Drosophila melanogaster: one gene and its partners. The protein of the gene in region 1 interacts with the protein of each later gene in a pairwise test. Each region holds a gene or a part of one and is shown on either strand. Other genes may lie near its edges.

Region 1 (3,767 bases):
ACTTCCAGTACTCCTTCTGGGGCTCCCCATGCATCGATCTCCATCACCTGTTCAATACTTCTCTAAAGGAGCCACTGCGTAGAGATCAGCAGAACGGGCTCTTCCAGTTCTACCACAAGATATTCACTGAGACGTTAGAAAAGCTCAACTATCGTCAAAATCAGATTCCCAGTTTGCATCAGTTTAAATTGGAGGTGGAGCAAAAGAGATTCTTTGGTAGGTGGTATATTTAATCACAAAATGTAATTTCTTTTTAAATAATTGTATATTCTTTATAGCTTTGCATTCTACGGTAGTGGTGCAGCCAGTTATGATTAGCCAGGATCCCACGGATGCCTGTTTCAATGCCTTGATGAACGATGATGAGCGTGGCATTCGGTTTAAGAACCGATTATATAACAACCCTACAGTTCAACAAAATTTACATTCCCTGGTTCCCTTCTTCGATAGAAAGGGACTGCTGGAAGTTAACCAGACCTGTTAAGAGATTATTAGGATATGTTTTATTGGGCTTCCACGTTTTATGTCTATAAGTTTAAATAATAATAAACAATCTCATTTTAAATTAAATGTTTATCTCTGTTATGGGATATTTGACTTTCCAAAATTCAAGGGACTAGTGCAATACGGTTGGGACATTTTTGATCTGAGACATAAAATGGCCAACATGTCGTATAAGCTATTTTTAAAACATTGAGATAAGAATAACACTTGTGTTCTCATAAGTGGGTCATAATAATTTTTGGTATAAAATCAAAAAGCAAAATAATGTATCGTTCCTAAAAAAAATTAAAGAGAATATGTAAGACATGTTTTGAATCTGACATATGTAATGGATCGTTTTTTATTTATTTAGGTGCATTATCTCCAATTGACAATATCACAATTTTTAATTTATTAATGAGAAAAGAAAGAAAACGGATATGCGTACCTAATAAGTTGACCATCAAAGAAATTCTCAAGTTGGAAGGTATGTTACAGAATACATTCAGCAGGAAAACAGAAAAGGTATTCGCTCAAAAGTAGGCAGTGCCGTATTCAAAGCTCCTCTTGAAAATAAACAGATCGTAAATCCTCGAACAGATGAAAATAAAAATTCTGTTGCTAGATAAAGGAAGACCCGACATATATACAAATGTACATTCAAGATTGTTATCGGCTACACCTGAAAGTATGCAGGGGAAATCTTATCTCCTCTACCCATTATCTTGGCACTTGAAAACTTGTTTAACTATTTTCCTTCTGGGCTATTCTGTTTCGAAAATCCTTGTGAAATTCAAAGTTTCCGACTGATTATTATAAATACGTAGAACGTTAAATACTAGGAAATAAAAAACGAAACCATTGTAAGTCTGTAAATAGCTTAACTATCCGGCTCAACTATGCAAATGGATGGACGGCAGATGGATTTATGGGCTGTGAAGTAGATTAGTTTGACGCGAGCACGAGAGCGATCTTTAGACGCCACGTCAGCACCATTCGGCATGAATTACGGCGGGCACACTTACATCATATATAGGAACGTGCACCGATTTGCGAGATGTGGGGGTGTTATCTCACCCTGTCAAGTGTCGCGCTCCGAGATCTGCTTCTATCTAGTCAGCTTTAGATACTCACGAATCTCTGTCGTATGAATCGAAATCCACGGGCAGCAGCTACGTAATTGTCTGAGCCAGCTTGCTTTACGGCTACCATAATGTGGGATCTGTTGTCGGCGAGATTGCGTCTTCCGGCTGCCTATAAATGGGGCCTTCGACTGGACCAAGTGATCCAGAACACAAGTCGAGCATCATCATGGTGGAGCAGGGCAAGGAAGACGCTACCGAATTTCATCCGGCGCCAGAGTGGCTAGATGAAACCTACTTGGAGCGACTGCTCCGGGATTTGAAGAATGATCCGGGACTGAGGATCACCGATTTGGTGATCAAGCCCGCCACTGCCAAGGGTGACAATTATGCTAGTGTGATGACACGCGTGCGGATTTTGTTCTTGAAAAGTGGCGCCAAAAGCCCCGAGACTGAATACTATATTGTGAAGACCACCTATGAGAACGATGCCTTCGCCTCTGGAATATTTTCCCAGTACCAGGTTAGCACCACGGAAATGCGTATGTACGAGAAGATCCTGCCCCAATTGAGCTCGCTCATCGAGAAGACTCGCCAGCCGGAAAAGGTTTTCGCCAAGACATTGCATGTGGACTACGAGCACGAGGCCATCATCTTTGAGGACCTTGCGGTGACGAAATATGTCCTGGCCGATCGTCTGGTTGGTTTCGATCTGGAGCACACCCGCTTGGGACTCCGAAAGCTGGCCAAGATGCATGCGGCCGCTGCTGTTCTGAACGAACGTCAACCCGGATTGCTGACCAAGTTCGATCACGGCATCTTCAATCGCCACACCCAGGCCTTTGCACCCTTCTTTGTGAATACGGTGGGCGTGGCGGCTGACTTTGCCAGGGAGTGTCCCGAATTGGGTGAGCGGTATGCTACCAAATTGAAGAAGCTGCAGGAACGTGTAATGGAGTACTCCACAAGAGTTTACGATCCCCAACCGGGAGATTTTAATACATTGGTGCACGGTGACTACTGGGTGAACAATGTGATGTTGCGCTACGGCGAAAATAAGGAGCCACTGGACATGACTCTCATCGACTTCCAATTCTGCAGTTGGTCCTCGCCGGCGGTGGATCTGCACTACTTCTTCAACACTTCGGTGCAGGTCGATATTCGCTACGAACAGCAGGATGCCCTGTTTCAGTATTATCACACGGTGCTCGTGGAAACGCTTAAGGATCTCAACTTTGGTGGCTACATTCCCACATTGAGGCAGTTCGTCCTGCAGCTCGAAAGGGGCAGATTCTTTGGTGAGTCCCATCTGGAATGATTTTCAAAAACCCATTATAATTGTTTATATTATTGTATCTAACAGCTGTCACAGTCGCTCTGGTCTGCCAGGCCATATTGACCAATGACCAAAACGCCGATGCCGACTTTAATGCTTTGATGAAGGATGACGAACGAGGCCGTAACTTCCGGAAGGTATTGTACACCAACAAGAGGTTGCAGGACAATCTCAAACGCGAGCTGCCACGCTTCGATCGGAGTGGTCTACTAGACGTAATTGACTGAATGGAAGCCATCATATACTACGAGTATTTGATAAAAAATAAAAACAAATTTTATTTTGAAGTTAAAACCATATGAAAAGCAGTTCATTTTTATTGCAAGTTGGTAAGCAATAAGATTAGAAATAGAACACACAATGGTTCTATTGTAAATGTTTGTATTCATAAAACTATATTAAATGTGACGTTTTAAAGCAAACGATAAGCGGGCCAACGGTGCGTATGAGTTATAAGGGGGACGCAACAATTCACTTACAAGTTTTTTCCTCAGTAGTACACCTTGACTTGTTAAATACATTCGTATTCGTATTTATTTGTTGTAGGTAAATATTAGTTTCTTTTATTAGCTAAAACATCTGCGGCTTATCTTTTGGCGTATCGCGATTGTTTCTATTTCACCACGATTCAAGGGCTTGTAATTGTTATCTTCTGAGATTTTTAGTATTGCTTGCACCTTTTGTTTGTCAAGAGTTTAGCACTATCTTGCCGAAATAAACTCGAAAGCGCTATTATCAGTCATGAACACTGTATTTCATATAAAAAGGTCAGTTATTGCCGAATTACACACATAAAGTGCAATCAAGCTATTAGATAAGTATTTTCCCAGGAAATTAAAAGCAACGACGTAGTTGAGCCAATACGT
Region 2 (3,474 bases), on another chromosome or scaffold:
TTAGTTATGTCTAAAATGATGACATATTTATGCATGAGATACCATTCTTGGTACTGAACCTTATTTGATATGCACCTCAAATCCAAGTTCTTTTTTACACCTAATCCAAATCATACAACCCTATTCAATTATTAATTTCGATGTGTTGCCCTCTGGTGACCCACAAAGGAGACGGTAGAGTTAAAGATGCCTTGTAGATAGATAGGGTCTACGGACGTGTTCGTCTGGCCCCTCGATATGAGAATTATGGGACACGTTGCTATCGCCAAAAATCTAATGCCTAATCCTCGAAATTAATTACCTTCGCTGCACCTTTGCCACATTTCATTCAGACTGTTTCTATGAAATTAAGCGAAAAGAAAGAAAATTCCATGTAGCTGAAAGCGATCCTAGTGCCCAGATACGAGTAGCTCTCCAGACATCGTACTTATGCCCGTGCACGTTCCGTGGTGAGAGCATCAAGATAGTGTGGAAAAAAAACGTGAAGGCGGAGGCCACTTGACGCTTCCTTCGTGTACACACTGTACTTGCACTGAAAAAAAGAAATGAATGAATAAAAGAGAAGTTCCTTTTTGCAGAAGCTACGGAATATTGAAATATTTGCTACTTCTATGAGATATGGTAATTATAATATACATATATACAATTTAATTTAATATTAATCTAGAATAATAATATATGTATATAGGGCTATCATTTTCAATGTTATAATTTCTAAATGTTGATGTTTATGATATAACCATGTTTTTGAGTGTGGATTTCTTTCGTGTGGAAGTGGAACCCTCTCTGTCTATGGCTTGGATTATAGATGACCCAGGCATCGTCAACTTCATCGTCATGTAAATTTTTGAAATATAATTGGCCTAATATTTTAGCCTGTCCGCTGTCTGTTGGTAATACCCGGTCCCAGACACGTACTACGAGTGTGGCTCGAGGCCCCTGGGCAACAGGCACTTGGCTGGGTTACTTGGCCCGAAAGCCCATAACACTCGTACTGGCGCACTCATGCTGCAGGCCATGATTTTTATCAGTTTACCTTAGTTTGTGTTTGGCCAACGCACCCAATTTTCCACGGAATATGGGTGTAGCCCGTTGCCAGTTGCCTAATGTGGAAACCTCCTTCCATCCTCGCTCGTTTCGGCCCAACCCAACCCAACAAACCAACCGTACCGACCAAACTAACAAATAGCAAACAGAAAACGACACAATCCGTGCATTAGCCAAACTCAAACTCAAACTACGAAACTCCTAACTCAACTCCATGCCACTTGTTTGCTGAACTTTTGATATTTTCCAACCGACGCCGATAGTTGCCAGTTGGGATCCGCGAACCTTGGCATTTGTCTAGTCCGATGGTCGATATATGTGTATAACTGAATCTGTGGAGCAGGTGCTGCACTGAATGCGATCCGCAGCCTGGGAATATTCAATCGAGCATTTTGCCTGGCCAACCAACTATAATTATGCATTGACAGAACGCGAAAAAAGCAATTTATTATTCAAGAATGAAACTTATGCTGAGAAAATGAAGTATAAAGCTTGCTTTATGTAAAACAATCATGATTTTATCAGGATTTAAGACATATCTTTTTTCATTTTTAAGTTGATGAATCAATAATTCGAGTTCATTAGCAGCTAGAAATATATACAATTCAAAAAGATTCGTTTAATATAAAATTATAATCATCATAATTCAATAATTCCTTTACTTATAGTTGTAAAATTTAATGTACACAGAAACATTTTTGTGCCGAAATTGGCATTGCTTTTTGTAGCAGAAAACATTCCCAGTTTTCAAGGAAAATACACCCACGTTCTCATTATATCAATAATACATATATTCTTTATTTGTTGGTAACTGATGGCAAAGATGTCCAAGTCATCGCGTAGCTTCAAGCTGCCACCAGTCAGCTCCTCTTCCGTGTCCTCGGTCTCCGGCAGCGAATCCGGGCAAGGATTGGAAGACATGTTGCACGTGACAAAGGTGCGAACTTCCCAGGTGGACAACGCAGAGCTTTTCATGTACGGCGACGGGCCCAAAAAATCGAATTCAGATCTGCAGAAAAAGGTCAGTACACCCGATCCGGAAGAGGAGGTGTCAATGGAACCACCATTTGTGGCATTGGTCAGCAATTTGCCAATGGAGTGCACTGAAGGCGAGTTGCGGAAAGTGTTCACCAGTTTTTCGATCCGTTCTCTAACCATTCCGAAGAAGGGAAAGCGACCCAAGGGATTTGCGTATGTGGAAATGGATTCCCGCGAGGATCTCGTTCGTCTGCTCAAAATGGATAAGCTTAAGTGCCGTGGTCGTTGTCTTATGGCCAAAATAGGCCAATTGCCACCCGAACCACCGACAAAGGCAGCTGGAGATGGCTTTTCATTATTTACTTGTTCAGGCAGGCAATTTGATATAAACTCTAGCCATTATTCGGCCAGTGTCAGTGATCTCAGCACCATCGATTCGCCAATCTCTGCGAGGAACTCACCATTTCCTTCGGAAAGTGAGTCGTCCTTTTTCGGCAGGGATAATCCTATAAAAAGAATTCCTAGTAGCACTGAGGAAGTGGAACGCCGTATGCAAATTCGTCTTCAGAAACTAGCCGAATTCGAAAATTCTGAATCGGAGAGAATTAAGAGTGAATGCGAGGATGATCCGGATGCCTTCATGTCCTGGAGCGATGCCCTAGACGAGATTAGAAAATCTGAAACTGATTCCTCAAATCATACTGAATCCTAGCAATAAAAGCATGATAATTGAATGTTCAAAATTACAAATTTTTGTATTTATGTAATAATTAAACTTAAATGCAAAAATAGTCCATATATATGTATTAAGCTGACTGCCGCTTATGAATTATTAAAACAATAGGGTTTCGATTTATTTTCCATTTAAAACCTGAAGCCGGGAAACCCGTCCAATGTGCACAAGAATTATGGATCCAAAGTGAGCTAATTAACAAAAATGAAATGCTGTTAATGAACGGTGAAGTGTTCATTTGCCCCTTGGCAACAGCTGCAGGTTACCAAAACCAAAAACCAAAAAAAAAACCGAAATTAAAAGAAAACAATTAATCAACAATATTGACTTAAAGCTGTCAACTGAATTAAATTAAACTGATTTATTAATGTGGCGACAGTTGGGCGATTGAACCGCTGACGTCCAAAATGCGATGGTGACTGTGATTTTGACGCTCCGCCACCCAAAAAGCCGTCCTCTTTGGGCCAACAAACAAAGAGCCAAAAACAATCCAGTAAAGCATACGCTAATTGACCAACTAATTAGCGCATTTAATGGCTGCCACATAGATGTACTTTTTGGTGTATGTGAATAAAATACGGTCACCGAAACAAGAAAGACAGACTTGCTAATGAAATTAACGTAGCGTGGTTAATAGTTTTGCCAAATTTGGAAAATTGTTTTCATTAAATCGGTCGGCTTTAGTTACCCGTTCTGCTCTTGGCGTCATCTTTCTC
Region 3 (4,493 bases), on another chromosome or scaffold:
GTATAACTTTGAAAAAATATTATAAGATGTTCTCGTTAAGTTTCAAGGTTTCTAAGAACTAAAAATCTAAATCTGTTTATAAACACTGCTCTTATAATCCCATCTCAAACTACCACAACCTAACACGAATCTAGATCTATTTTCTTTAAAGCGAAACTACCGCAAACTAAATTCGTATTTTATCGTGAAAATACCAAGCCATCCTGCTCAAAGGAAGACCAGACCCAGGGGCATATCTTTAGCTTCCGCTGGTACGAGACCCAACAACCTGACCTTCCCGATGGCAGCCCGAGCATTATAATAACACTTTCTCAAAAAGGTTCTTTATGGGGTTTCCACCCCATTCCATTCCATTCCCCATCCCCACCATTCCCTAGCCACGAACCACCACCCACCATTAAGCACAGTTAGTTAGTCGTTTCTTGTTTCTCGTTTCCCTTTCCTTGAGTCCATTGTTCCGCGGTATCTCCGCTGTTCTCGCCTCTCCCTCTCTGTCGCCCACTTCTGCGCGACGACTATGGCCAAAAGTAATCTTCCAAGGCAAATGTGAACCACAAACAAATTTATAGCTGCAATGCGGCCAGGCCGAGCATAACGGGCCCACATTTCTGTGAAATCTATGTGAGAGCAGATGTGCAGAGGGGATGGAAATGGAGAAATAGAACTCAAAAGGAAACTGTCGAGTGAGGACGACTATAAAAATATACAACAATACTGCCAAGGCAACGGGACATAATGAGCCAGGGCCAGACGGCCCGAAACGGTAAATGGTAAGCGGTAAGTCTCTAATCGGTTAACGGTAAAGCCGAGCTCAGCTGAGCGAATGTGGGCCACCAGCAGGAGAGCGAACCATTTTGGCTTTGGATTTTTGCTTTTGCCCTGCACCTCCTTTGCAGTACCGTTAGCGTTTTTCTGCGTTCGTGCTTTGCATGGCCATTTGTTACGTATACGTGTGCGCAAGACTCTCGTTCTCTCTGCAGACTTGCCTTATTTGGCTGCATACTGTAGGGCGCTCTCCCGTTACTCCTGAATTTCAAATTTCGATGCATAACTTGAGGCGCTCGCTCTCTCTTTCTGAATCTCTCTCTCTCTCTTGTTATGTCCCTTTTTACTTTACACGTTTTGCTGCACACTTTGAAAGCACATTCTCTCTTCTTGCTCTCTCTGCTTGTTTATGCGTCATTTCTTTTGGCTTTTTCTCACACATCTCTCTTTTTGCAAAGGCAACAACAAATATTATGTCTTGCTCAATTTTATTTTTCTTCCCTTTCATCTTGCCCTTCCTTTTTTTAGTTGGTTCGCATTGCAGCATTTTATTTGCTAGCTCATTTATGCAATTACTACTGCCTTTAGTTATAACATATTATATATTTATTCATTTTAAGAAAAAGTACTGACCCTTATTATATTATTACTTCGTCTAAGTAACTAAAATTTATTTAAAATTAAATTAGGTAGGATGTGCTGAGACTCCACTGTACTAGTGAATCCGATTTTTGGCAGATTGCAGCGAAGGGCTCCCAGATTACATTCACTCTGTGGCTCCCCCTTTCATGCCAGTTTCATTAGGTAGATTTTCCACCTGAGTGAGGAACATTTCACCACCACCACCAACCCCACCCACCAACATTGTTCTGCATTCACAAGTTCGTTTCATGCTCTTATGGTTTTCTTTTTTCCCAGCAAGCCCCTCTGCAGCGCATTTTCCCTCGTTTGCTTTGCTGCAGCAGCTTTCATTCATGCCACGTCAGTTGACATAATGCGACATGGCCACACACAAGCAACAAGCCACCCACCGAAGGCGAGCGCCCACCGCCCCCTAGAAAACCGCCCCACACTCTTCATTGTCGACTACTGCACTTGGCAAAAGTTTCTACCAGTCATTGCCATGAAAGTGCCATTCAAATTTACCGCCCCTCGCCACGCCCCCTTCTTCAGTTGCTCCTTGATCGAAAGGGTTTCTATTTGGTATATATTCTTTGGCTTTGCAACCAGGCAACACGGTCAACATAGCAAGCCATGTTTGTTTATCCCCAAAAACAATAACAAACTCGGCTCAGAATTCAAAAAGACCTCGACACAAGCATAGCCAGAAAATCGGAAAAACATAAATTATAGAAAAAACAAAAGAAGCATAGAAGTTAAGAATATTCAAACAAGTGAAATACGCTCAAGAACATTTAATGGAAAAAAAAGCTTCACTTTCCAGGTTGCGGCAGATTAATTGCACCTATCTGCTTTAACTTCGTGATTTCGTTAATAATAAATAGAAAATTCCTGTTGTATCCGAGAGTCGTTTAAATTAATACATTTTAAAAGAACCCGGCACACAATTATATCGCAAAAAGGAAATTTTGTAAAGTTATTAATGTCTGTGTAAACGAAAATCTTTCAATGAGGATTTTATATATGCGCCAGGATCCGTAAAGCTGCTAAGTAAAAATGGGTTAGTATAAAATGAATGTTTTAAGACAAAACCAGTCATATCCTTTTTCCTTCCAGATACCACCGCCGAACGTCAGGTGAGACTGGAAGGAGTGGAACGTGTGCTCAAGATGTCCCAGGAGCGCATCAAGATAGCGATGATCATACCGAAGCTGCTGGAGAATCCCGAGAAGTTGAAGAGCGTCCTGAAGGACACCTGCTATGAGGAGGTTCTCGAGCCCATCGATGACATGATCCGCCACCTTGGCAAGCAGAGTGGACGTTCCAAGCTGCCACATGACCACACCACCATGCGAATCGTGGACTTCTTCCTGGTCAACCATAGCATTCATCGATTCTTTCCGCACTTGAAGAAGAACCTAAACGAAAGGGATCGCCAATTGCTGGCCGCCTTTCACTTTCTCCTGGAGAGCGCCCACGTCCATCTGCACCGATCCTCGCGTAGCGAGATTACCAAGGAGCGAAAGCTCCATGCCATCTTTCATCAGAATGTGGACATCAAGAAGAAAATCAAGGAACTGAAGGCGAGCCTGGCCTTCCAGAAGGTGATTGGCAAATGGAAGACGGCCGCCAAGGGCATCTATCTGATGAAGGTCGAGGAGGATCTGGCCAATAAGAAGTGGCAGAACAACGTGGCCATTCAGAACGAAATGTAACTCGGATTTCTAGTTCTAGAAATTCTTATTTGAATATATTTACAAATTACAGTGAAAAGTGCCATCGCACGATGCGAAGCTACCACAAGAGCAGCATGGACAGGCAGAAGGAATTGGAGGAGGAGCTGCAGAATGCCCGGGAGAGCTACGAGAAGATGACCAAGAAGCATCTGGCCGAAGAGCACGAGCTGCGAAGCGAAAAGTAAGCTACAAATCGAGTAATTTATTATTTAAGTGCTCTCAATCCTTTATAGAAACAAATTGCTCCTGCAACTGCAGAGTATGCTTAAGAAGTACGATACCAGCCTGGGCGAAAAGATGCGTGAGAATTTGGTGGCGGAGGATCAGTATCTGGCTGCCAAGAAGGTCCTCGACGATTTTATGGTCCAGTACAGGCAGGAGGAGCGCATCTACAAGAACATCGTGGTCAAGCGAGAGGAGGAGGAACGTCGCGTGCAGCAGGAGAAGCTGGTCATCTTCATGATGAACCGGGCGGCGGGCAAGATTCAAAAATACTGGCGCAAGTGGAAGAAGGATCAGCGCAAGAGGAAGCGCCAGGGAAAGGGCAAGGGCAAGAAGGGAAAGTAGTGTCCCAAACCGGATCTCTGTATATTTCTACATTGTACAATTTATATGTAGAAATACGAATATATTCCAACCTTCTACTACTACTAACGTGTATATATGTATCCTGTTTTCTCATTATTTTTTAAAACTGTCACATGCTAAAAAGTTATGTTTGCTTGAGCTCATTTGTTGTTTGCAAGCTTTTGTGGCATGAAAATCACTAAGCATGCATAAGTACCCATGTATGCAAATTAATATTTCCATAAGAGAAAAGGCAAATGTTTACTCGCAATTAAATCGTGTTTACTTGGCACTTGACAACACACAGAAATTTTCTGGAATTTCTTATATATTCTAGAGTAAAGAAATGATTATTTCCTTTATTCAGCAAGGCTAACCAATTTTATTAAATATTTTTCTATTGAACTGCGATAAATTTCGCCTAAGACATTGTCAACGCGGTTTTTTCTATGGGGTCAGAGGGCGAAATGTGTGGCTTCCCTGCGATTGCGAAAATCCAAGAGAGAATGAAAACGCCTGGCAGAATGTTTACCCAACACGCACACACACACACACACACACACATACAGCGATGGAGGGAAAAGCCAAATTTTCATGTCTTGCGGGGCGAACGAAAAATGGCGCATTGCTGTCGTCGCCAAGCGACAACGACTACGACAACGACAACTACAAACGCTCTTTTGGCCCGATGTTTGCTGCATTGTTACTTCATTTTCATTCTCGTTTTCGTTACCTAGCCATCGCTATTGCCACACCATCACCCACCACCCACCGCCCAACGCCCAGCTCACACCGCACCACCAA

The links.
Region 2: the proteins of CG10513 (region 1) and CG11726 interact in a two-hybrid assay, tested with the Drosophila melanogaster proteins (one large-scale study listed by BioGRID).
Region 3: the proteins of CG10513 (region 1) and CG13168 interact in a two-hybrid assay, tested with the Drosophila melanogaster proteins (one large-scale study listed by BioGRID).

The regions. Positions count from the first base shown.
Region 1 is NT_033777.3:25,275,222-25,278,988, reverse strand, and holds CG10513 (uncharacterized protein), read left to right. Parts: upstream 1-1,776; 5' UTR 1,777-1,794; coding exon 1,795-2,863; intron 2,864-2,928; coding exon 2,929-3,128; 3' UTR 3,129-3,199; downstream 3,200-3,767. Other genes in the region: CG10514 (uncharacterized protein), read left to right, coding at 1-216, 279-484.
Region 2 is NT_037436.4:11,392,910-11,396,383, forward strand, and holds CG11726 (uncharacterized protein), read left to right. Parts: upstream 1-1,780; 5' UTR 1,781-1,861; coding exon 1,862-2,737; 3' UTR 2,738-2,764; downstream 2,765-3,474.
Region 3 is NT_033778.4:12,251,919-12,256,411, forward strand, and holds CG13168 (uncharacterized protein), read left to right. Parts: upstream 1-2,073; 5' UTR 2,074-2,442; coding exon 2,443-2,446; intron 2,447-2,502; coding exon 2,503-3,097; intron 3,098-3,153; coding exon 3,154-3,303; intron 3,304-3,355; coding exon 3,356-3,689; 3' UTR 3,690-3,783; downstream 3,784-4,493.